Drosophila melanogaster: one gene and its partners. The protein of the gene in region 1 purifies or fractionates together with the protein of each later gene. This does not show direct contact. Each region holds a gene or a part of one and is shown in the gene's direction. Other genes may lie near its edges. The genes, in order: AIF, CG1603, Sk2 and GAPcenA.

The links.
Region 2: the proteins of AIF (region 1) and CG1603 purify together in Drosophila melanogaster (affinity purification with mass spectrometry, with the first as the bait; one large-scale study listed by BioGRID). This does not show direct contact.
Region 3: the proteins of AIF (region 1) and Sk2 purify together in Drosophila melanogaster (affinity purification with mass spectrometry, with the first as the bait; one large-scale study listed by BioGRID). This does not show direct contact.
Region 4: the proteins of AIF (region 1) and GAPcenA purify together in Drosophila melanogaster (affinity purification with mass spectrometry, with the first as the bait; one large-scale study listed by BioGRID). This does not show direct contact.

Annotation. Positions count from the first base shown.
Region 1 is NT_033779.5:2,149,908-2,155,608, forward strand, and holds AIF (apoptosis inducing factor), read left to right. Parts: upstream 1-1,846; 5' UTR 1,847-2,127; coding exon 2,128-2,239; intron 2,240-2,325; coding exon 2,326-2,558; intron 2,559-2,755; coding exon 2,756-3,037; intron 3,038-3,095; coding exon 3,096-3,198; intron 3,199-3,374; coding exon 3,375-3,624; intron 3,625-3,688; coding exon 3,689-4,503; intron 4,504-4,565; coding exon 4,566-4,990; 3' UTR 4,991-5,198; downstream 5,199-5,701. Other genes in the region: Tbcd (Tubulin-binding cofactor D), read left to right, coding at 1-354, 422-888, 941-1,546. UniProt on the Drosophila melanogaster protein: Probable NADH oxidoreductase. Mitochondrial effector of cell death that plays roles in developmentally regulated cell death and normal mitochondrial function.
Region 2 is NT_033778.4:7,513,341-7,518,354, reverse strand, and holds CG1603 (uncharacterized protein), read left to right. Parts: upstream 1-1,964; 5' UTR 1,965-2,090; coding exon 2,091-2,387; intron 2,388-2,448; coding exon 2,449-2,712; intron 2,713-2,772; coding exon 2,773-3,135; intron 3,136-3,191; coding exon 3,192-4,028; 3' UTR 4,029-4,509; downstream 4,510-5,014. Other genes in the region: CG1602 (uncharacterized protein), read left to right, coding at 1-330, 388-1,341. UniProt on the Drosophila melanogaster protein: Chromatin-binding protein involved in the organization of active promoters and insulators. Essential for the activity of heterochromatin promoters; primarily binds to specific motifs within promoters of housekeeping genes.
Region 3 is NT_037436.4:3,045,328-3,050,659, forward strand, and holds Sk2 (sphingosine kinase 2), read left to right. Parts: upstream 1-1,759; 5' UTR 1,760-1,862; coding exon 1,863-2,839; intron 2,840-3,318; coding exon 3,319-4,327; 3' UTR 4,328-4,832; downstream 4,833-5,332. Other genes in the region: scramb2 (scramblase 2), read right to left, coding at 396-889, 1,310-1,424; CG32485 (uncharacterized protein), read left to right, coding at 5,212-5,332.
Region 4 is NT_037436.4:8,344,773-8,352,599, forward strand, and holds GAPcenA (GTPase activating protein and centrosome-associated), read left to right. Parts: upstream 1-1,788; 5' UTR 1,789-2,397; coding exon 2,398-2,704; intron 2,705-2,768; exon of another isoform or gene 2,769-3,002; coding exon 3,003-3,281; intron 3,282-3,483; coding exon 3,484-3,667; intron 3,668-3,729; coding exon 3,730-3,917; intron 3,918-3,976; coding exon 3,977-5,073; intron 5,074-5,127; coding exon 5,128-5,316; intron 5,317-5,375; coding exon 5,376-6,095; intron 6,096-6,154; coding exon 6,155-6,607; coding exon of another isoform or gene 6,608-6,616; exon of another isoform or gene 6,617-6,952; intron 6,953-6,994; coding exon 6,995-7,162; 3' UTR 7,163-7,507; downstream 7,508-7,827. Other genes in the region: CG7182 (uncharacterized protein), read right to left, coding at 1-1,297; Culd (CUB and LDLa domain), read right to left, coding at 7,757-7,827.

The DNA of each region.
Region 1 (5,701 bases):
TGGAAGCGTTCGGTGAACTCTGTACCACTTATTACTGCTCAGATTCCAGGCACGGGGAAAACGAAGCCATAATCAACACTTATCTAACAGGTGCAGATAACGATTTGGAGGAGCACATTCGCATGGGCTACATTGCTGCTCTGGGTGTGCTCCCATCCTTTATGATCCGCTGTCATCTGCAGGCTATATTGGACAGTCTGGTGAAGCACTCCCTAACTCCACTGCAAGCAGTTCTGGTGGGTGAAATGGGTGACCGCGAGAACATCCAGGCATACAGGTGGAGCGAGGCACGGACACAGAGCGTGCTGGCCTTGACCAAGTTGGTGAAGACCGTGGGATATGGAGGGGGAATTGGTGAGTCAATGATCTTAGTTGTGGGCTAAGAATGTGAACAAATCTTAGTATACAATTATTTTTTCAGACTCATTTGCTGAGCCGAAAAACTTTAACAAGGTTATCGAATGCCTGTTAAGAGCTCTTCAAGAGTACACCCTGGACAACCGTGGTGACATCGGAGCGTGGGTGAGGGAGGCGGCTATGTCATCGCTATACGAAATCGTCACTACGTGTCCGCCTGATCTCCTCGCCCCAGAGCAAGTGCATGAGATTGTCGTGGGCTTTATGCAACAGGCGGTGGAGAAGATCGATCGCACTCGTGGATTAGGTGGTCGCCTTTGCTGCCAACTGATCCATCATCAGCCGAGGATCCCCTACATACGGGAGCACTCAAAACTCTTGGAAATATTTCCCGCGGATGCGGATTCCGTACTTTGGTTATTTGCCGATCACACATTCCCGCTGTTCTGCGAGCTGCTCTCTCTGCCGGATTACTCTAAAAGAGTTCTTTTGGGTCTGAGTGCCAGCATTGGTCAACTGACTGAATCTCTTGTAAGTTGTATAGACCACCTCTATATCAATCTCTAAAATATTCTTCCTGCAGATCAAGTATGCCTCCAGTGCCTTATTCCACTTCTTGCGTTCCAATCCTGAGACTGTTCCGCGTCTCTGCTCCGAGGTGGTCCAGATTTTCGAGGAGCATCTACTAAACGAGCGCGTGACCTATCCTCTGCTCAGTTTCCTGGATATACTCATTGGCTCCGGAACTGTAGAATCGGTTCTACACGATGAAGCAAATCCCTTTGCAGAGGATATCTTTAGGCTGCTCAACCTGGAGGTTAAGGGCTACAAGAAGCTGTACAAGACTGCGACCAGCATCAGTGCTTTTTGCCAGTTGCTCCAGGTTCCTCGCCTGTCTAAACGCATCCTCTCCAAGCTCTCAGTATTTCTTGGACTGCAGCACGTCCACGTTCGCAAAACCGCTGCCACAAAATTGTACGAAGCGTTGGCTCTGCACGGCGATGTCACCGAAGTGCCCGAGGAGAATATGGATGAGATCCTAACACTGCTCTCCGAAACGGACTGGACCCAGCCGCTGGTGGAGGTGCGTCCGCTGCGGAACCAGTTGTGCCAACTAATGGACATCAAGCCTCCCGTAAGTGGAGCAGCTGCTGCAGCCGCTTTGCAGCAAGCGAGTGCTGATAAATGAATGTTCCCACATGTATTTAATATATATTAATGCACAATTGTACTGACAACATACATAAGTGGTATTCATAAGAATTTTTATTCTTTATTTTGGAAGCACATCTTTATTTTAACATGTTTTTTAATATTTATCGTTTTCAAAACAAAGAGCTTGTAAGTTCGATTTTAAAATTTCACTTGCTCAAAATAAATTAAATATTGTTCAACATTTCAAAAACCAACGAACACTTTTTGATAAAAAGTGGCTATTTTCAAGCCAAATAATTTCGAATAGGCGCTGGGCCATTTCCCATTTCATTGCGACGGTCACACTGCGACAGAGACAGAAAAAAACAAGACAGGCGAGGGAATGAAAAATAAATATAAATTAAACGCGGACTACCCAAAAGCAAGGAGGGATAAAGGAGTCGAGATCAATTAAACACCGCCGGACTTCACACGGAGAAATTTGTCATAGAAATTGGTTTTTTTGTAAATAAAACACGAACTCGCAAAACACACGTTTCTTTCGCCGCACAACGTTGTTACGTTACACAATTGTGGATTGTGGTGTCACCTACTCCGCAGCCAGTGCAAATCACGATGAGTATTTGGGGGGTCCGATGTCTGACGCAGAGGTTCATCCGGCAGGCGTACATCCTGGCCAACAGAAGGCTATTGGGTCCAGTGCCGCAGCGCTCGCCGCCGGCATACGGTAAGTGAGGTTATGGCCGGCTGGCCAAACCGATCCGTGTTTTCATGTTTTTGCCGATAACTAACTAGCATTCACGTCGATTTCAGCTCCTCTTCGGCCAGCCCACAGCAGCCTCTATCAAATGGTAAAGAAACGCACCCTTGAGGCGCGCACCAAATTGCAAGCCAACAAATATCCAAATCATCAAGTCTGCGTCACCAAGCCCTCGACCACGCCCCCCGTTGAAGAGTACGAGACGGCGGTGGAGGGAGCCGGCGTTCCCGCCTACGCCAATGCCCAGTTTCAAGCCCATTCCCAATCGGAGCCACTCTTTAAAGTGGTACCCATCGTTCATACCATTCACCATCCATTTGCATTAGCTGGATAAGTTGGGGATGCAAACTAACTTCCTACAAGCCTTGTGAAATTGATAACTAGCGAAAACATAGCTGGGTTATTAAACAGAAACCAGTTTGCATCCCCATCAAAGACTTGCAGAGTTATTAACAAATATTAAACAATATAATCAATTTCCAGGGCTTTGCTGACGTCAAGTCCGTCTGCAGTGCTAAGGATGTGTTAAAGTCGGACAGTGCAAAGCTCAGCACCAGCCAACCCGTCCTGGATTCCTGCAAAGCGACTAGTCCCTGCGAGGAATTCAAGCGCAAACGAAAGGAGACCACCTGCCAGCCCTGCGACGAGGATGGTACTGCTCCCGGTGGCGGTGATGGTGGAGACGAGGAGTGCGAGTGTCGGATGAAGGACCTACGGCTTAAGTGCCTCTTGGGTGCCCTGGCTGCCTTGTTAGCCGGAGGATTTGTATGTTTCGATCTGATATCTAAAGGAAATATTCTCTAATTACTTTGCTATCATATAGCTCGCTTGGTTTATGACGCGGGATACGGATGACAGTGAAGCCAAAAAAGCCGAGGCGGAGGAGGAGGAACGAAAACGTAGATTAGTTGCTGGACTAGCCACGAGTAAGTAAAGCGAAAACCATAGATTTTTGAATTGGTAGGCTAGATTAAACCACATTTGCCAACTGATTCAGATAAGCATTATCTTATACATACCTCAAAATCATCATGATTGGATAATAATTACAACAATTTTCAAGATAGGCCGAGGTAACTTATCACTTTCTCTCTATGCGCAGGTCCGCCCAGTTCTGAGGACCTTCCCAAGCATGTGCCGTACCTGATTATCGGCGGCGGAACCGCTGCCTTCTCTGCTTTCCGAGCCATCAAGTCTAACGATGCAACAGCCAAGGTTTTAATGATTAGCAACGAGTTCCGCAAACCCTACATGCGCCCCCCACTGTCCAAGGAACTGTGGTATACGCCCAATCCTAACGAGGATCCCATCAAGGACTATCGATTCAAACAATGGACGGGATCCGAGAGAAGGTAGGTCTGAATAACTTTTTTTATATAATTGAAACCCATTAAGTTATTCCCTTCCTGTTCACAGCTTGTTCTTTGAGCCGGATGAGTTTTTCATTGACCCCGAGGATCTGGATGATAATGCAAATGGAGGGATTGCCGTCGCTCAAGGTTTCTCTGTGAAGAAGGTGGACGCTCAAAAACGCATAGTGACGTTGAACGACGGTTACGAGATAAGCTACGACGAATGCCTAATTGCCACCGGCTGTGCCCCCAAGAACCTGCCCATGCTGCGTGATGCTCCGCCCAGCGTGCTCGAAAAAGTAATGGTCTATCGCACACCCGATGACTTTGATCGCCTCCGCAAATTGGCGGCGGAAAAGCGTTCAATCACAATTGTTGGCAATGGATTTATCGGCAGTGAACTGGCCTGCTCCCTGGCACACTATTCCAGAGAGAACAATGGCGGTAAAGTGTACCAGGTGTTCCAGGAAAATGCCAACATGTCAAAGGTCCTTCCAAACTACTTGAGTCGCTGGACGACGGCAAAGATGGAAGCCCAGGGTGTCTGCGTCATCCCCAACGCCAGCATTCGCTCGGCAGTTCGCGATGAAACCAATCTAAAGTTGGAGTTAAACAATGGAATGACTTTGATGTCGGACGTGGTGGTGGTCTGCGTGGGTTGCACGCCAAACACGGATCTCGCGGGACCCAGCAGGCTAGAGGTGGACAGAAGTCTCGGCGGTTTTGTGGTTAATGCAGAGCTGGAGGCCAGGCGGAACCTGTACGTGGCCGGTGATGCTTCCTGCTTCTTCGATCCTCTGCTGGGCAGGCGACGGGTGGAGCACCATGATCACTCGGTGGTCTCTGGTCGGCTGGCCGGCGAGAACATGACGGGAGCAAGTAAGTTACTGGGCTTAAAGTTAATAACCGATCGATCATAATGTTCGCCGTACCTTTTGCAGAGAAACCTTATCAACATCAGAGCATGTTTTGGTCCGATCTAGGTCCAGAGATCGGATACGAGGGTATTGGCTTGGTGGATTCCTCGCTACCCACCGTTGGTGTGTTCGCCCTGCCCTCGGAATCCGCCACGCGCGTTGACCAACTGTCTGAGTCTAGTGATTCCGACGTGCCGGAGACCAGTACGAGTTCCAGCCAGTCGTCAAAATCTGATGCCGGGGCTAGCCAAGATGGCGTTACCTGTGATCCCGATGAGGCGGGCAACTATGGCAAGGGTGTAATATTCTACTTGAAGAACGACAAGATCGTCGGCATCCTGCTGTGGAACCTCTTCAATCGGATAGGCTTAGCTAGGACAATAATCAATCAGAATAAGAAGTACGATGACCTCAATGAGGTGGCCAAACTGTTCGAGATTCACGCGTAGAGAACAGCGAGTCCCGAGGGACCATGGAGAAGATCTGGCTACCCTGATATGCTTATCAGCACGCACCGAACAGAACCTATCCAACCCGAATGCCTTTAACTGTGTTTACTGTGTACATTTGCAACTGCAACTAGATACGAACGGCAATGACGCAATGCAACAGAAATTTTAGTTTTATTATTTTTGGAATAAACCTTATTTTGTAGTCAACGACATTGATTCGGTTATGTAGCAGCAAAGTGCATATCTCCGTGTAAATATTGAAAAGTCGTAGACAAGCGGGTCTCTGTTGAATTGTGTGTAACTTTCGTAATAAACCAAGCACCAGAAAGTTGTTGACAAAAAATTCACCGTACCAACTAAACTGTTCAAATTATTCATTTTCGGTGTTGAAAAATCCGCTTTTTGATCCTGAGGCACCCGTTATTTAACTAATCCTAAGAGATTTTGCTTTGATTCTTATTTAAATAAATCGTAGGAACTTTGGAACTTATTTTTTTTACTTCAATCATATAACCCATTTGTTTATTGTCCGAGTTGTCTCACAACGGCACAGAATTTAAATGTACATATTTTTTTGGAATTTTCCCAGAATTTGACTAAACCATCTGCCTTATAAAAGACGAGCACCTGGTTTAGGGTTTTAGGCTGGATTAGCTGAATATAGCGAGGATCAATAAAATTCGCGAAATATTATTTTCGCTGAAGTAG
Region 2 (5,014 bases), on another chromosome or scaffold:
GATCACCGAACCATAAAGTTCATAGAGATCTACAAGGAACACCCGTGCCTTTGGAATCCCGCTCACAGCGACTACAAGGAACCCAAGAAATGCAAAGAAGCCCTGAAGCGTATGGCCATTGACTTGGAGGCAACTGTATCCGTATTCCTGAACGAGATGGCCTTAAAGCTGGCCATCAAGAAAGTCCACATGCAGTTCAACACCGTGCACAAGCGGGTGGTGTCTGGAAAACAGAAACCTCAATCGCTGGCTTTCAGTATATACAAATTGTGTTGCTTCTTGAACGCTAGCAACGATGAAGAAGGGGCTACGAATAACGAAAAAATTAAGGCAAGATATTTGAATTAATTCAAATTGAAATTGTTAACAAGCATACTTTGCCCGCAGCTTGATTTCTCCAAGAAAAACAAGCTGACTACCGACCTGATAGAGATGTACGCAAACTTTCCGCAGCTATACGACTCCAACCACAAGGAGTTCTCCAATATGAGCTCTCGAAAACAGGCATACGAGAGCATGGCTGCGGAAATCTCAGTGCCCAATGTGGACATCAACAGCGATGACATATTCCGCGCCATCCAGAATCTCCGCCAATGGTACTACAAGAACACTAAGCATGCCATTTATGCCGGAAGTACAGCCGAGAAGTTCTACCTAGAGGTGTGTCGGTTCATGCCTGCAAAGATGTACAAGCAGCGGCTGGTCTGCGAATTTTGCCACCAGATTACGTCCTCGGATCATGTCCTGCAGTCGCACATCTTCAAGGCGCACAACATCGGCGAGCTGCCCTTCAAATGCACCTTGTGCGACCGAAGTTTTGTGGGACGTTGCGAGCTGGCTAATCACATACAGCGGGTCCATATCGGCAAGACCCACAAGTGCACCCATTGTGAGCGTTCATTCGCTGTGATGTCGGACCTGCAGCTGCACATCCGTACGCACACTGGCCACAAGCCTTACGTCTGCGAGCATTGCGGCAAGGCCTTCCGACTGCGGTCCCAAATGACGCTCCACGTCACGGCTATTCACACGAAGATCAGAGCCTTCAAGTGCACCATGTGTCCCAAAGACTTTGTGAAAAAGGTCGACTTATCGGATCACATCAAGGGCCATTTAAACATCCGCGACAAAATCTGCAGTGTGTGCGGTAAGGGATTCACCAGCTGCCATGCACTCATCCGACACCGGCAGATTCACTCCGAGGTGAAGAAGTTTGTGTGCAAACTCTGCGACTCCAGGTTCTCCCAGTTTGTGGGTCTTAATACGCACATGAAGCGCACCCACAACATTCTTCGTAATAATTCACAAAAGGGTAAAGATGCTGTGGATGCAGAGAACTGAATTTGATTAAATTTGCAATAAAATGACAGTTTATAAATAGGCAATCTTTTGCAAATGGGGGGAAATAAAAATACACAAATGAGAGTGAAACAATATGTTTAAACAAATTTATTTATATAACGGTTTAAGAATGTATATTAATAATTAAGAATATAAATTCTACATTATCTGGCCATGTCCATCTGTCGAAATCTGGGGATGTACATCTAAAAGCCTAAACACATTCCCCTGCCTACGCTGCGCTATTTTTTCCAAAATGTTGGCACGCCCACAAGGCGCCGACAACTGTAACGCCCATACATTTGAAAAACGTTTTGGTGTTTTCCTGTTCATATTTGTCTCGCTATTTTCTATCGATATGACAAAAAAAATATAATTTCTCAACAAATAAGCTTGATTGATTTTGATTTTTCCAAATGGTTAGTACTAGAATTTTATAACATTTTTTTTCGAAAATTGAAATGTACTAGTTACTTTAAAGATTCATTCATGAAATGCAGATTTTTAATCATTTTTAAGCACCACCAACAGTTGTTAAAACGTTTTCTTTTAAGCCTTCATAAAATTGTGTTTAAATATTATTTTAAAAATAGATTTTTATCGAATAGTCTATCGATACATAATTATTTCAGTCGTTGTCCAACACAGTCCCAAACGCATAAAAAAATTGTTACCTTAAATAAACGAATATATTTTCAGAAAAGGAACATTTTTCAAGCTGAAGTCAGATCAGAGCGCACAACGTAAGCATGGAGCTGTGCGGCAATGTGATGACCAACTCCAAGTACGAGATGTTCCGGCTGAAATGCCTCTACTGCAGCATAGAGAGCGAGCTGAAGGATTGGGAGCTGTTCATCGTCCATGTGAAATCGGCGCACTACTGCGAAGACGAGGACGTTAGGATTAATGAAATCAAAGAGGATACCGAGGAGCTATACAGCGTCGTTGACGCGGCGGACCCAGCCATCGCCTATGGGCCGGATGAGTTCTTCGAGGTGATCGAAAACAGCAATGGGGTCGATCAATGGATGGAAGCTGATAGCAAGGTAAGACTCTTTCACTCGCTTACCAAGGGTGGTCAAATAAGTGAGCTCTCGTTGACCGCAGGATATCCAGTACGAGGAAGACGCCACCGCTTGGTCTGCAGCTACAAACAATTCCTGGGAGTTCGGTCCAGGCGGCAGCTCTTTGGAACTTCCAGCCGGAAAGGAAGTCACACAAATGGACGAGTCTTCCCAAAATCACATACCCCTAAACACAGACGATGATGATGTTGATTGTAGTGACTTCTTTATGTCTGAGGATGACTTGGCACCTCCTAGAAAACCTGGACGTCCGCCCAGGCGAACAAGACCAGGACAGGTTTTCAAGGTTAGTACGTAGTATATTTCACTTAAGCTGAAATTCATTCCACTTAACGGCGTCATTCAGTTCAAAGTTTCGTTTATTCGGAGCAATCCCCGTGTGCTGCATTTGATCCAAGCGTACAAAGAGCATCCCTGCCTGTGGAACCCTTCCGATGAACACTACCAGGACGAGCCTGCACGAAGCATGGCCTACGAGGCGATAATGGAACGCATGGACCGCAAGGCCAATGTTCTCTTCACCGTGGAAGAACTGAAGAAAACGCTCGAGCAACTGCACGTGCAGTACACGCTGGCTTTGGAGACAAAACAAAGGGGAAAGCTTGTTGGACTTGCAGCGCGTTACTTTGCCAAGTGCGAGTTCCTCAGTGTGGCGCCTGTTGTAACGCCAAGGGAGAACGAGGAGGACAACGACTTGACTGCAATTAAGGTAATAACTAGCCCACTATAATGTAGCTCTTTTCTGACCAAAAATCCTTTTTTCAGCTTAATTTTAAGGAGGAAAACCTGATAACCACCTCATTCATAGAGACCTATGCCAACTATCCCGTGCTGTATAATCAAGCGTTGCCAGACTTTGGCTCAATAGAGATACGTGCAGATGCCTTCAAAAGAATGGCAAAGGAATTCCAGCCAGTGGTGAAGGCCAACGAAACGGACGTTTACATTGCGGTCAACAAGCTGCGCCGTTGGCTTTACGATGCCATTCGTCGCCTCAAATCCAAGGAACTAATTCAGAAGTGCAGCAAGCAAGAGGTTCAGTATCTGCAAATGTGCAGCTTCTTGCCCGCCAAGGGTTCCGAAAGTCAGGTGCTGTACTGTGACTACTGCGATAAACGTTTCCACGGCGACTACAACCTACGGGTGCACATCGTCAAGGCGCACGAGGTGGGCGACCTACCGTACCTCTGCTCGTTCTGCCCGAGGCGCTTCGACCGCCACGTAGACATGGACCGTCACAAGCTGCGTTCCCACTTCGAACGCAAGTTGAAGTGCCAGTACTGCGAAAAATCGTTCGCCGTGGATACCGACCTAAAGGTGCACACACTAATCCACACGGGCGAGCGGCCTCACGTCTGTGACATCTGCGGCAAGACATTCCGGCTCAAGCTACTCCTGGACCACCACGTCAACGGAGTTCACCTGAACATTAGACCCTACAGCTGCAATATGTGCACCAAAACCTTCCGCAAGAAGTTCGAGCTGGCCAACCATATCAAAGGACATCTGAATATCCGTGATAAGAAGTGCGAGTACTGTGATGCTACGTTCTATGACCATTCTTCGCTTTCCAGACATCGCCGCAGCCACAGATCGGAATGAACTCTCGCCTTGAGGGACATTTTTAGAAACTGCTTTATTTTTTGATAACGAGAATCAGTAAGCTTCATTTGATGTAAATCAAGAATAAACTTACGTTAGAGTAGTGATAATAACAAGCGTGTTGTTAAGCACTTACGGCTTTTGTGTATTTGATAAGAACATGTGTATGATAATCATATGCACAAGCTTTTCCTTTTTCATACTTTCCTTTTCAAAATTTGGTTTAAGGAATGTATTATTCATAAAAAAAAGAAGAAGCCGGAAAAATAAGTTCGTTTTAAGATAAATTTGTATAACCGTTACTTGTAGAGGAGATATTAGAATAACATATGATTTTTTGGTTCTGGCTCTAGATCTAGAGCTGGCTTGAGGCTCTCCCGAGTTTTTGTTCAAAAGTCAGAGAGCGGAGAGCTCTAGAGCTAGCAGCTCTATTATTATTATTTTTGATCAAATGACGTGTACAAAATTTTATATATATTCATTTTTAACAATGTATTTATATTTCTTTTATGAAATATATTTTTTTAAATGTATTTTCCTTTTTGCCAAATTTATATTTTTAATTACAATAGTTATAATAACGATTTAAGACTTTATTTAGTTTATTAGCTTAAATAATGATGAAAATAATTTTTATACGGTACAAGATACTGCTCATAGACCCTTGTTGAAGTATGTCGTCAGTGCAATTTTAAATATTTTTAATTATAAGCAAAAATAAATAAGCGGTATTTAATTAATAACAACTCTTCTTAAAAGAATAGTCAAGGCATTAAATTTTAAATAACTCTGTAGTAGATCGTATTGCAACAAGCTTTGACCAAAACTTTAAATATGTATGTATGTACCTTCGTTTCTGAGATCAAAATTGATTTCGAGACGAAAGTTTTCTAGCACAAGTATGCTCATATACACTTTCTCGTTTGTTGTTTTAACACACACAAGGAAGTACATTCTATTTTAAGAAATTTACGCTCTCCATTTTA
Region 3 (5,332 bases), on another chromosome or scaffold:
ACTTGGTGCATTTTAGCCATAAAAAGTATAAATTGATTGATTGATTTTCCTATATCTAGAGGCATCTGTTAAATAACGTATACAATTGAAAATTTAAAACTAGTGTGGGTGCTATTAATTTGAACGCTTCTGTCTGTTCATAATTATTTAGAATATATGTATATAGGCACTTATAAATGTTTAATAATTAAAAAAGCAATTAAGTGGACGCCTGATACTGTTCATTTTGGAATTTTATAAAGCTTCGTCTTTGACTGATGAAGACCATACATATGTACTCCTCCGAAGAATTTAAAGCTAATCCGCTGACCGCTGCTGTGTGTGTATACACTTGTTTGGGCATTGGGAATCGAGATCGAGAGCCAAGAATAACCACTTGTTGGCTGCGTACTGACCTTGAAGTTGGTATCGCTGAAGCACTTGCAGGGACAGACGGGTCCCTCGATCTGCAGGACGGTATCGCCGCATGTGTTCTTGATGTTGAACTTGGGCCGCATGAAGGTGCAGACCTGCTCAACGCTACCGATCACCTGGCCGGGTGGCGCCGACACCTCCACGGCGTTCATGCAGCTGGGAAAGCAGCAGAGGATGTCGCACTTGAAGGGCCGGTACAGGTGGAGCACCTCGTTCTGAAAATTGTCCAGTATCTTCATCTCGAAGGGGCGCGACCGGCCGAGCATGTTGCGGGTGCAGCAGTCGCTCTCCTCGTACGCGAAGTACACATTCTGGCCCAGTGAGTTCTTCACCTTGAAGCGGTTCTTCGTCTCGAAGCCGGTGAGCAGCTCCAGTTTCTCGATCTTCTGCGACACGAGCAACTGGTCCAGAGCGGTCAGGTATTCCAGTCCCTGCGGGCAGTTGGGCATGCCCACGGGTATCGACATCCAGTTTTCTGCAATGGGGCGTTGTTCCGGATTAGCTCCCTATGTATTTATATTTATCTATATGCATAAAGTGCTTTTCCGATATCTATGCATGGGTAAAGGAAATTAGCATAGCTACAATGGCGGTCAGGCGATTAGGGCCAGTGATAGCAGTTCTTAACATAAACTAATATTTTAAACAATATGTATTTACGTATTGACTTGGAATCACTTCACTTTTTGGTACATTATAAAATATCTTTTTTACATAGATAACTATGGGTGCTATTGCCATGCCCGCTGCTGTACTAAATGCCAAGAAAGAGACGACGGCATTTCCGCCTTTCGCACACGCCCACTAGCCCACACAGACGCGCGCAACCGACTAGGTCCATCCGAGTGATGGAATTCAACAGTGGACAAATCCATATATGTCCATCGCTACGCACCAGGTCCGTTGGCATTGTTGCCAACATTCGCCGCCTGCGGCTGCAGGACCACTGCGCCATTCTCGTCCTGCGGTGCATTCTGCGGGAGCACCTTGTACTCGCTCATCTGCATCATTGTTATTCCCAGCAATTAAATTCGTATCGGATTCTTTAACAGTTCACAAAACACTAAATGCAGGGTGACCGCGTTGCGAACGCCGAAAAATGCAACGCAAATGCACCGTACGAAATATTCTGTCATATATTTTGGTATTTATTCGAACACAGAAAAATATCAACAAAAAGCTTTCAGCACTCAATGCAGTGACAAGTTAAATTTGTTATGAGCTGACGTTTTTGTGGATTCATTTGTATTATTGCATTGTATTGCAATAGTTTCCTTAAGCTAGCCTCTTTAAGTTCTAAGAATTTTGAGTTTATTTGTGCCAGTTGGTATATTCGCGCCTGCCACCGACGGTAACACTGCGGCTATGATTGGATGATAAGCGATCCATAAAAGCCTGGACACAAAAGACCTGAAACATGCTGCTTGGCAGCCGAATCTCCAGTCGAAATGAGCGAATCTCTTGATAAGACCACCAGCCCGAGCTCGGCCAGTTCCAGGGCCACGCCCCCGGGAACGCAGGATGCGGATGAGGGCCACGACGTGAGCGATACCTTCTACACGAGCCAGCGCAAGAAGGGCAGCCACGTATTTCGGGTGCGCCTTGACGCCACAGGATTCACCCTGCAGCGGGAGTCGCCGGGCGGTAGCATTGTTAAGGAGCAACATGTCCGCATATCGGACATTGTGGGTGCCCGCTGCATGCGGCCCAAGAAGAGCCGGCGCCTGGCGATGTCGGGCGCCTGTGCGTGCAGCTCCGGTAATCCCAATTCGCCAGCCATCTCGGCGTCCGGCGATCACCATCGCCCTGCCACCACACCAAGCAAATGCAGCACCAATAGTCGGGATAATATTCCTTCGGATGGCGGCGATGTCAGCGCGTTTCTCTACGTTTTTGCCTATGTTCTGAAGAAGAGGAGCCTGCGGTCGGAGTTGCACCGGGAGCGAACGGTGCTCACTCTGCGCTTCCGGTCGTTCGACACCTTCGAGGACAACATGAGGGAGGCGGATCGTTGGTACAGATCCCTTCGCTGGCAGTTGCATCGCACGCTGGAGGAGATCTTTGTGGCGCCGACGGTGGATGAGCGACGCCGTCGAGTGCTTGTGCTGTTGAATCCCAAATCCGGTTCCGGTGACGCTCGTGAGGTCTTCAACATGCACGTGACGCCGGTGCTCAACGAGGCCGAGGTGCCCTACGACCTGTATGTAACCAAGCATTCCAACTTTGCCATCGAGTTCTTGAGCACCAGGTGCCTGGACGCCTGGTGCTGCGTGGTGGCTGTCGGCGGAGACGGTCTCTTCCACGAGATAGTCAATGGACTGCTGCAGCGCCAGGACTGGGCCCACGTCCTGCCTCATCTGGCACTGGGAATCATTCCTTGCGGCTCCGGAAATGGATTGGCCCGCTCCATTGCCCATTGTTACAAGTATGTTATCTTTGTTTCATGTTTCATTAGGAAAAACCCCCTTTTGACTTATGTGGATCTTCATATTTCGTGTAAAACAATCCCTCCAGCGTCTAGCCATGCAGTTTATCATTAGATTACATTCATAAGCAAAAGTAGTTTTCTTATCGTGTCAAATGGTTTTGTTGTTTTGCAAGTGGGGATATCCCCTTAAAGTTAAATTGACGTCAGACTAGAACAAACTTTCCACATCGTTAAGTAATTGCCCCCCAATTTCGTTCAACATTTAGTGGCATATCATCGAACTTTGAAATCTTTATGTTCTTTCTTTATGTTCATCTATAGCTCAACTTCCCGATAAAAGAGTATAAAAAGGGTAATAGAAAAGAATGTTTATAGACTTTAAAACCACATTCAGGTGTCTCATATCCGATCTATTGGTCGTAATCCGATTATCAGTCTTGTGTTGAAACCTATTCACTTGAAACCTTTCTCCCCAGCGAACCATACTTCAGCAAGCCAGTGCTAGGAGCTGCTCTGACCGTAATCAGTGGACGCAGTTCACCCATGGACGTGGTCCGGGTGCAGCTGCAGAGTCGCTCCCTCTACTCCTTCCTGTCCATCGGCTGGGGTCTGATCTCGGACGTGGACATCGAGAGCGAGCGCATTCGCATGTTGGGCTACCAGCGCTTCACCGTGTGGACCCTCTACCGTCTGGTGAATCTGCGCACCTACAACGGCCGAATCAGCTATCTTCTGACGGACCATGAGGTGTCCTCAACCCATAGCGCTACCGGTTATGCTGCCCAGCGGAGAATGCAGAGCAGCCGTAGCTGCAACACGCACATCGACATGCTAAATGGGCCGGCGCCCATCTATCATTCCAGTGCCGAGTACCTGCCACAGGAGTTTGCGGACGTGATCTCCCTGGAGACGTCCATCAATCAGTCGTTCCGCTCGAGGTGCGACAGCTGGTTGTCGGGGGGATCGCGGCGCAGCTTTTACTATTCCATATCGGAGAGCATCTACCACAGTCTGGCGGATGAGAGCGAGTTCGCCGGCCTGGCGGCCGCCTCGCTGGAAAACCGGCAGCAGAACTACGGTCCGGCAAGCGAGCTGCCGGATCTGAACGAACCGCTGTCCGAGGATCAGGGTTGGCTGGTGGAGGAGGGCGAGTTCGTCATGATGCACGCCGTTTACCAGACCCATCTGGGCATCGACTGTCATTTTGCGCCCAAGGCCCAGCTGAACGACGGCACCATCTACCTGATCCTCATACGCGCCGGCATCAGCCGCCCGCACCTGCTGAGCTTCCTCTACAACATGAGCTCCGGCACTCACCTGCCGGAGTCGCACGACGACCATGTGAAGGTGCTGCCAGTGCGAGCATTCCGCCTGGAGCCCTACGACAATCACGGCATCATCACGGTCGACGGCGAGCGCGTCGAGTTCGGGCCCCTCCAAGCTGAGGTCCTGCCGGGCATAGCCCGCGTCATGGTGCCCAAGTAGGAGGAGCTTACTGAAGACCATCAAGCAATAGAAATCTCAATTTTGGAATCTCTGCATTTGTAGCTAATACTTAGGGTCCCAGGTGGCCGATATGAGAGAGTTGTGCATTCTACATATTTCGTGTTTTTGTGGCCTGCTTCTGCCAACCAATCATGTATTGTTAACATTTTAAACACAATAACAGCTATTTCCGAAATATCTAACATGTTTGTTTATAAAACGTGTGCCATATGAAGTGCACGTGAATTTATTTTTATCTCGGCTGTTCAAAATAGCGATGAAAGTCTTATTTATTTTGTTCTTTTTTTTTTTAAACTGTGTAACGAAATGAGATATATATTCAAAATGTTTAAAGATGAATACAAATAAATCTTCATGAATTCAAAAATCTTAGAAAGTAACAGTGTAAGTAACAGAGCTAAATCATTTACAATTCCATATTTTAAAGTAGGAAGTTAAGAATATAACATCTTTGAGCTTGAAATAAAAAATAAAAATGTTAACTAATTTCAGCTCTGTTTCAATTTGTTTTCTTCTCTTTACTATATAGTTTAAAATATTTTTCAAAATTTATTATCAATTAAAGCTTTTATTAAAATGTAACGGTTCCAACCAATAACGGTAATTTTTCGGTATTTCGTGCTTGCATTTAGTATTGTTGTGGAACGCAAATGACAGCTTTTAGAGAGTTTCAGCCGGTCACACTGGTCGAAAAAAAAGAAAAAAACAAATCCGTTCCGTTTGTGAAAAAACATTTCCGAGTAAAAATAAACAGCGCTGCTTGCATTTCACATAGTGTCAGCACATTCCGATTCCAGTCCGCGACTCTCCAGCACGGAATCCCAGTCTGCATTCCGGTCAGGAAGCGATTCGTGCTCTACAATATGTCGTCCGAGGAGCTGGCGCCAATTAACGAGCAGGACTTCAAGGATCTCAAGGAGCGCATGAAATTGATTGTGGAGGCGGATCCAAAGCAGTATCACAATGACTTTTCGCTGCGTCGCT
Region 4 (7,827 bases), on another chromosome or scaffold:
GGACCAATTTGGCGTTGGATTCGTCATTACCGTGCCAAATGAAGAGGTCATCCTCAGCCACCACGCAATCCTCCTCCTTGTGAAGCTGCTGTTCGAGGGGGTCAATCAGGCACACAGCTTGGCGCGCGCAGCCGATGGCCACAACCTCGTCCGCCGAATGGCTGTTGTGGAGCTTGGCATCCGGGAAGCGGGCTCCCACTGCCGCCTGAAGCTTGGGGATTTGCATTGTGGCGCCTAGTAGAACGATGTCATCTATTTTACTCAACCCGGGATGCTCCTTTTGCGCCTGCTCCACACACTCGCCTAGCTGCTGGATGAGGTTATTGATCACTGGCTGTATGAGGCTCTCGAAGCGAGCACGCGACATCTGGGCATTGTAATCAACGCCGTCCATCAGGGAGTCGATATAAAGTTGCGTGGAAGGCATCGTGGTCAGGATGTGTTTGCAATTGGCGGCGGCAGTGCGTATTTTGGCCACTGAGCGGCGAGACTCATGCGGATCTAGCTTGTACTTGCGACGGAACTCCTCGCAAATAAACTGCACCAAGGCCTCGGTGAATTGCCGGCCACCGATGGGGAAGGGTCCGAAAGTGGCCAGCTGAACGAACAGGCCATTTTGGACGGAGTAGAATGCGATGTCGCTATATAAGCCACCGCATTTGATTGTCAGCACATGGCGGCGCTGTTCCGTCTGCTCCTCGCCGATGCTATAGCCTAGAACGGCGGCCGTGGGTTCGGTTATAATCTGGGCCACATGGAAGCCAGCGGTTTGAGCGGCATCTGCTAGCAGTTTGTAGGCCGAGGCGGGATAGTAGCTGGGTATGGATAGCACGGCAATGGGCGCCTGCTCCCCGTCCGTGTGATATTGATGGGCCAGCTCCAGCTCAGCGCGCAGCAGCTCCACCGTCACCTGATAGGCGCTGAGGTCCTTGGTCACAACTCTATCGTCTTGGTCCTCCCTGTCGGAGGGTACAGTGTGCTCCATCCGGAACACCAGCTCCTCCTTGTCAAAGTCGCAGGGTATTTCACGCAGCGCACTGGACAGTTTCTCCTCCGTGAGCTCTTCCTTGGGCTGAAGCAACTGAAAGCTGTGCGCCACCGCCTGGCGCGGACGGTTGGCCATCTTCTGCTTGGCCGTGAGGCCACATTCGATCTCCGAGGCTCCGTCCCAGAGAAGGCACGCTTGGGACACTCGGTCGCCCTGTTTGTTGGCGATCACCTCCGCCTTGCCATCCGCGCGCACATGGGCGATGCAAAGCGTGCTGTTGCCAATCTTAATGCCAAATCGCGGCCACATCTTTTGGGAGTCGGAATCGGAGTCAGAAGTACCCGGACTTAAGGAATTATCTTAACAAAATGCAACGAATAAACGCGCACGTTTTTTTCCAGCACGCGCGGTAGTGTTGTGTAGCAGAGTATTTGGCAACACTGGCGGGGTATTATGTCACGGCGATGACACTTTTTCGATATGTACTATATGTTTAATATGTTCTCAATATTTTCCATACATCACATACCTTTATAGATTTGGTTCTTTGAATTACAATTTAAAAATTTATTTATATTTATTTAAATTTATTCAAGACAAGTCATTTCAGTCAAAGACAACTTTGTAATGCTATTGGATTATTTAGATTGCCATATAAGCATATGGCAATATGCATAGAAAAGAAAATAACTAGTCGATTAAGTCGATAGGTACACTTATTAACACTTTCAAAAGAAGTATTGAATAACGTTAAAGCAGCTGTTTCCTTTCGATAGGAATCGACCTACTGCAGGTCATCACTAGCAAAAAAATATGTAAACAAAACAGACGGAAAATTGCAAGAAAATTGCTAAAAACCCGATAAAAACACAACAATAAAGGGTCAAAACAATGTACTACAGTTCTGCGGAGTGTAGGCTATAATATAAAAACCAAAGTGTAAGCTCAAAGCAGCTGCACGCACTAAAATAACAAAAAAATCCATAGGAATCCAAGCGCAGAGGCTACAGAGACAAACTGTTGACCCCGCCGACCCCACCGTCCACCACCCCCTTGAAGGCCCAACCCCTCCAGTTCCCACGCGAATTGGGCACTGTGTGACATACATGCGCGTGTGTGTACGCCCCCAAAACGCCAAGCAAACCGTACCGATTCGTCATCGATTTACGGCGGAACCAAGCCAAACAATGCGACTCCGCTGAAAATTGGACAAATTGAAAACGAAATCTATTAAAAGCGAGTGCGAGTACGAGTGCGTGGCCTTGGAACAGAAATTGATTTGTTTACCTGCCCTGAAAATGCGCAATTCGTAGGGCTTAAGAATAAAGAAAGTCCGAATATATCACACACACAACAAAGAGTAACCCATTTGGGAGTGCCTGGAACTGAGGCAACCTTGAGTGTTCGGAATGGATGATAATCTGAGCACCAAGTCCTCGGAATCCTCGATAACAACCAGCGGGGAGTACGAAATAGTTACCGACAGCAATGTGGCCAGTCCCATGGAGCAGGTGAAGCAGGTTGTCAACCAGGAGGGAACTCAGCCTGAAGTGGGTGGCAAACCGCCCACTTCGCTGAGTGCTCTGGCTCTGTCCTCCCCCGAGGCTGGGGGAGATCGCTCGCCCACTCTGGACATGGCCCACAATCGCAACCTAAGCGACATGCAGCACGAGATGACGGACGCCCTCAAAGATCTGGAGTTGGAACGCGGCGTAGGTGAGTAAAGAAACACAACTGAGAGGGTGAATTGGGTTGCCCTGGGTAGCCTAAAGTAAACTCAGTCGTTGCCCAACGCCAGCTGTGCACACAACGTCGCGGTCGCTCCACTATTGGAAACATCAAACGATTGCTAAGCCTAACCAGCTGCAATCTTATCGGCGCAGAGCCGTAGTGCTACGCTGTCATGGAAACAACGACAAACAAACCGAATAATAATACTTTCCTTAAACAAAATTCCGCATAATTCGGCATTTGTTATTGCTCGTCGCGTAATTGACAATTAACATATTTGCAGCTGCCAGTGGGGAGAAGTCAGCGCAACGTCTCCCGAGTCATCAGCAAAAGTCCCTGACCCTACCGCTCACGGGCTCCGGCGGGGGATCTGTCGATCCCGAGATGCGTTTCCCCTGCACCTTGTTCACGCCCAAAAGCGAGGAGACCCTCGACGATGCATCCAGCTCAAACAGAGTGGGTCATTCAGTGTTCTATGACTGCATAGACGCTAGCCCCGCCTGCGTGGAGGAAAAACAGGATGCCATGAAGCCGGAGAAGGGCGACACCACCGACGAGGAGGGTGAGTAGATCTCTTAAGTTAGTTAAAATCCCAAAAATTAAGGGGTACATTTGCCTATAAATTCTGTTCATTTTACGAAAGCCTATATACTCACAGAGTTCTTTATTATTTGTTCTATATTGTGTTCCTAGGCTCCTAAAGCTGAAATCTATGTTTAGTGTAATTATTGAAATTTAATTGACCATGTGTTTTTCACTTTCAGTTTCTGAAATCGATCAGGGCTGCACCATATTTTCCGGAGTCACCTACCTGGGCGCAGCCAACATTAATGCCCCAAAATCCGAGACGGAGGTTTATCGCATCATGGGCGAGCTAAATAGTGGCTCAAAGTCGGTGGGCCTGAAGATCACTGTGAGCATACCCAATTGCTCAGAAGGCCTGGTTGTGTGAGTAAAGTTTTTACTGCCCCTTGAATTACTCACTGAGCGTCATCATGCTGCTATTACAGCCTCCACGATGCCGAGAGCAATACTATTATTGCCACCTATGAGATATCCAGCATTATCTTGTACTATCGAGGACCAGTGGATACGGTGGAAAACGGATGCTTTGCATTCACTTGGCTTCACGGCGATGCATTGTTTCAGTGCCATGTGTTTCGGTGCCATATTCCCGAAGCGGTTAATCAAGTCAGCGGTGAGTCAGATCATACAGTGATTTCATCCCACCGATTTATTCAAAATCTTCGCCCGCAGCCTGCTTCCAGAAGGCATTCCAGACTTATCCGCCCAGCATGAGTTGCAGCCTTAATTCGGCCGTTGACATGGCCAACTCGGTAACCTCCGATGTAAGCGGAAATCCTTTAAACACGGCTGGGTATGAGTTCATAGTCTCCTTAGAGATCCGTGAGCGAGTGGCAAAGAACTCCTATGCCGCAGTGCCTCGCGATAGGGGATGCTTTAAGCTAAGGGCGAACACAGATAAGGAAGTGTGCATCACAGTCAAACAGACTCCGTCAAATGTTCTTCAACCATTGCATATCGAACGATGTTTCGGTGTTCTAGTGGCACCCGGAAAACTAGTAGTCCAAAAGGATATGCATTTGATCGACATGCACAGCATGGGTTACATTCAGCCCGGCGGAACAGGAGTAGCAACCGAATCGGACAGCAATGCCCAGCAGAGCTCCTCCTGGCCCTATACAATTCGAGCTGAGTGGAAAGCCCAGGAAAAGGCCTTTGAGCAGTTAAATCTTGAGTCGTCAAAGACCAATCTCACTGTGGCCGTAGACATTGTGATGCGACGTATACAGGAACCGGTTAGGTTCGTCATTGAGACCCCAGTGACCATTCAGTCGGCCAGCGAAATGCGTATTATGGACCATTTTATGTCAAAGCGACCCATGACGTTACGATTCTATTTGCATCTAAAGCGGACCGAAGAGTCCAACTGGAAAGTGAATAGCATTGATCCCTCTGAGGAAATAACGGAGCAGCCGGGCCACCAGCAAAGCTCTTCCCTGCTCAAGATGGGTATGAATAATCTATCGCGCATTGTGCGCAGTTCGTCCATTGCCTCGATTGAGGATGATTGTCCCTCGGACTACAGCAGCGATGGGGATGAGCCGCTGCTGAGTGGCACTGGTGAGGTATCTAAGGATTGCTCGCAGGACACGCTCGACGAATGGGATCCCATTCTGCGTGAGTGGGATTCCGAGAAGAGACCGAAAAATCTGGCACCTTTAGTACGCCTCGGCGTTCCAGAAGCACTGCGTGAAAAGATCTGGCAGAAGCTAGCCAACGTCGAGGGCAGAATGGAAATGAACGACAAGTACAAGATCTTAATCACCAAAGTGAGTATAGACGCTATCCATGTGAAAAGAAATTAATTGGAAATTTACTTGTAGGAAACCAAATGTGAGACCGTTATCCAGCGGGACATCCATCGCACTTTCCCGGCGCACAAATGCTTCAAAGAAATTGGCGGTTCTGGCCAAGATGCACTTTTTAAGGTGTCCAAAGCGTATGCCGTTCATGACAGCGAGGTTGGATATTGTCAGGGTCTAAGTTTCATAGCAGCTAGTCTGCTCCTTCATGTAAGTAATGATGATGACAATCTACATCTAAGAATGATTGCTTACACACACATTTTCAGATGCCTGAGGAGGATGCGTTCTGTGTTCTGGTAGCGCTTATGTACGACTATGGGCTCCGTGATCTCTACAAAGCCGGATTCGAGGTCCTTTACCTTCGTCTCTACCAACTGGAGCGACTGATCAAGGATCAGCTGCCCAAGCTGCACGAACACTTCACGGCCTGCGGCATTGAGACGCACATGTACGCCTCCCAATGGTTCCTAACCTTATATACAGCGCGATTCCCATTGTGTTTTGTGTTCCACGTGCTGGATGTGTTTCTACTGGACGGACTACCTGTGCTCTTCCAGGTGGCCGTTACTCTCTTATCAATCTGTGAATCCGACTTGCGGCAACTCGATTTTGAGGGCATTCTAAAGTATTTCCGGGTAACGTTGCCGAAAAAGTGCCGCAGCTCCAGTCAGGCACGCAAGGTGATGAAGCAAGCCTGCGAACGTAAGATAAAAAAACTGAAGCAGTACGAGGAGGAGTTCCTGCTGAAGAAGCAGCACAAGGAGCGCCTGGAGAAGGAGGCACAGATTTACGAGAATCGTTTCGGCGAGGAGAGGCGCAAAATGCAGGCGGAAATCGACGCATTGAACAAACAACTGACTTCCGCCAAGGAGCGAGCTGTTGAGAAGGAGAAGAAGCACACAGGCATTATACAGGAATACAAGCAGATCATCCAGCGCCAAGAGCAGGACATGAACACACTAAGCGAGACTCTAGGAAAAGTGATGGTGAGTATTGTATTGTAATATGAATTTGACGGGATATTCATTTTTCAACTCTCTTTCAGCACATGGTTTCCAATTGCCAGGATTGTCAGCAGCAGATCGACGCCGGCAATGACAACGCTAAGTCAGATGACGGCAAGAACAGGGGGCAAACCGATGCCATGCGGAATGCCAATGAGCATCCACTGGGTCCACTTGATCCGCTAAACGCTGCCTCGCAACGCATCCGCGAACTAGAGCTGGAGCTGGCCCAGGCCAAGCTAGCTCAAGTGGAAGCCGAGTGCAAGAACCAGGACCTGAACCATCAGCTCAGCAATACGCTCAGTGAGCTGCAAACCAACCGCAACAGCTGGCAGCCCTGGCTATCGAAGACCTTCAATTCGCTGCAGGAGAAGGTAACCACGCGAGGCGGCCATCGGGATAATGGTAGTGGCGGACCGATGCCCTCATTCCAATCCTACATGGGCCAGGCGCCAACTACCCTAAGCGAGGCCAGCTCCCCCAGCGGCAATCAGGTAACCTAGAGTCCAGTGATCCGGCCAACTGTTATGACTGAAAGATCTTCAGTTTATTATTTTTAAGTTTTTTATGTATTATTTCTATGATTAAGATATGGGTTATCAGCCCACGAGCTGAGCTCCAGGAATGTTTTCGAAATACTTTATTAATACCCATTACTTATCATTGATTAATTTAATTACGCGCTTAACCTCACACCATGACACACATTGAGAATCTTTATTTAGTCGACTCTATGCAGGCATTGAACCCCTCTGCTGTTTCTGTTAGTACCCTAAAACCCGGGTTGCTTATGATTTTATTGATATTTTGCGTTGCAAATAAAACCCCGTGTATATAACATACTGAATTTGAATCTTTTGGTCCCTCGAATGGCTGCCCAGGAGTACAAGACCTTTGCATTTGCGTCGGTGGGAGGGTCACCGAAGTTGCCCAGCAAATTCCAGGCCACCAAGCTGCGCAACAGCATCGATAGTCTGCGCAATATAGTAGTGCCCCTGGACACTGGCAAAACGCTAGCCGAGAATCTCAAGCAACAGCTGCAGCAGTAGGAAACGATACAGCTACAACGTAGGAGGATCTGGATAGCAGGCAGACCTACGGCATTGACTACGTCTGGTATTATTTATCATATTCGTCTATATATACATATAAAAACGTGCATTTTGATTTCCATATATACGCGAGTAATAGATTTTTATTATTTTGCACTTTGAGGCACCCGAAAGTCAGTGCTGGTCAGGATGTGCCCCGGATCAATTAGTGGGTTGAAGTGAATCTTGGGCGATGGATGTTCGTTGTTGTTTTTTGTGATCTGATCTGGGGCACATATTGATCTGCTCTGGCAAATGCTACACGTATAACGGCTATAAATAAATAAATTAACAAAAAATGCTAATTCATAATGTAATTATTCATTTCTTTTTGCGGTATGGTACATATTATAAAGAATACAAACGTTGCGACCTTTTGGATAAGTCTTGATGAAGTTGAAGTTAATTATTTATTAAGAATTTCAATAAGCTAATAACATTCGAGTAAGAAACAGGCTTATTTATTTATATGTGACTAGAATCCGACCAGAATCACACCAGGCTTTAATACTATCGTTCCACTTGTCCACTCTTCCATTTTGAATCTCCCGCTCAGATGAAGAACAATCGCTGCATTGCCTCGCTCGTTTTTTGTGGCGTCGATACCGCCATTGTCGCGTAGT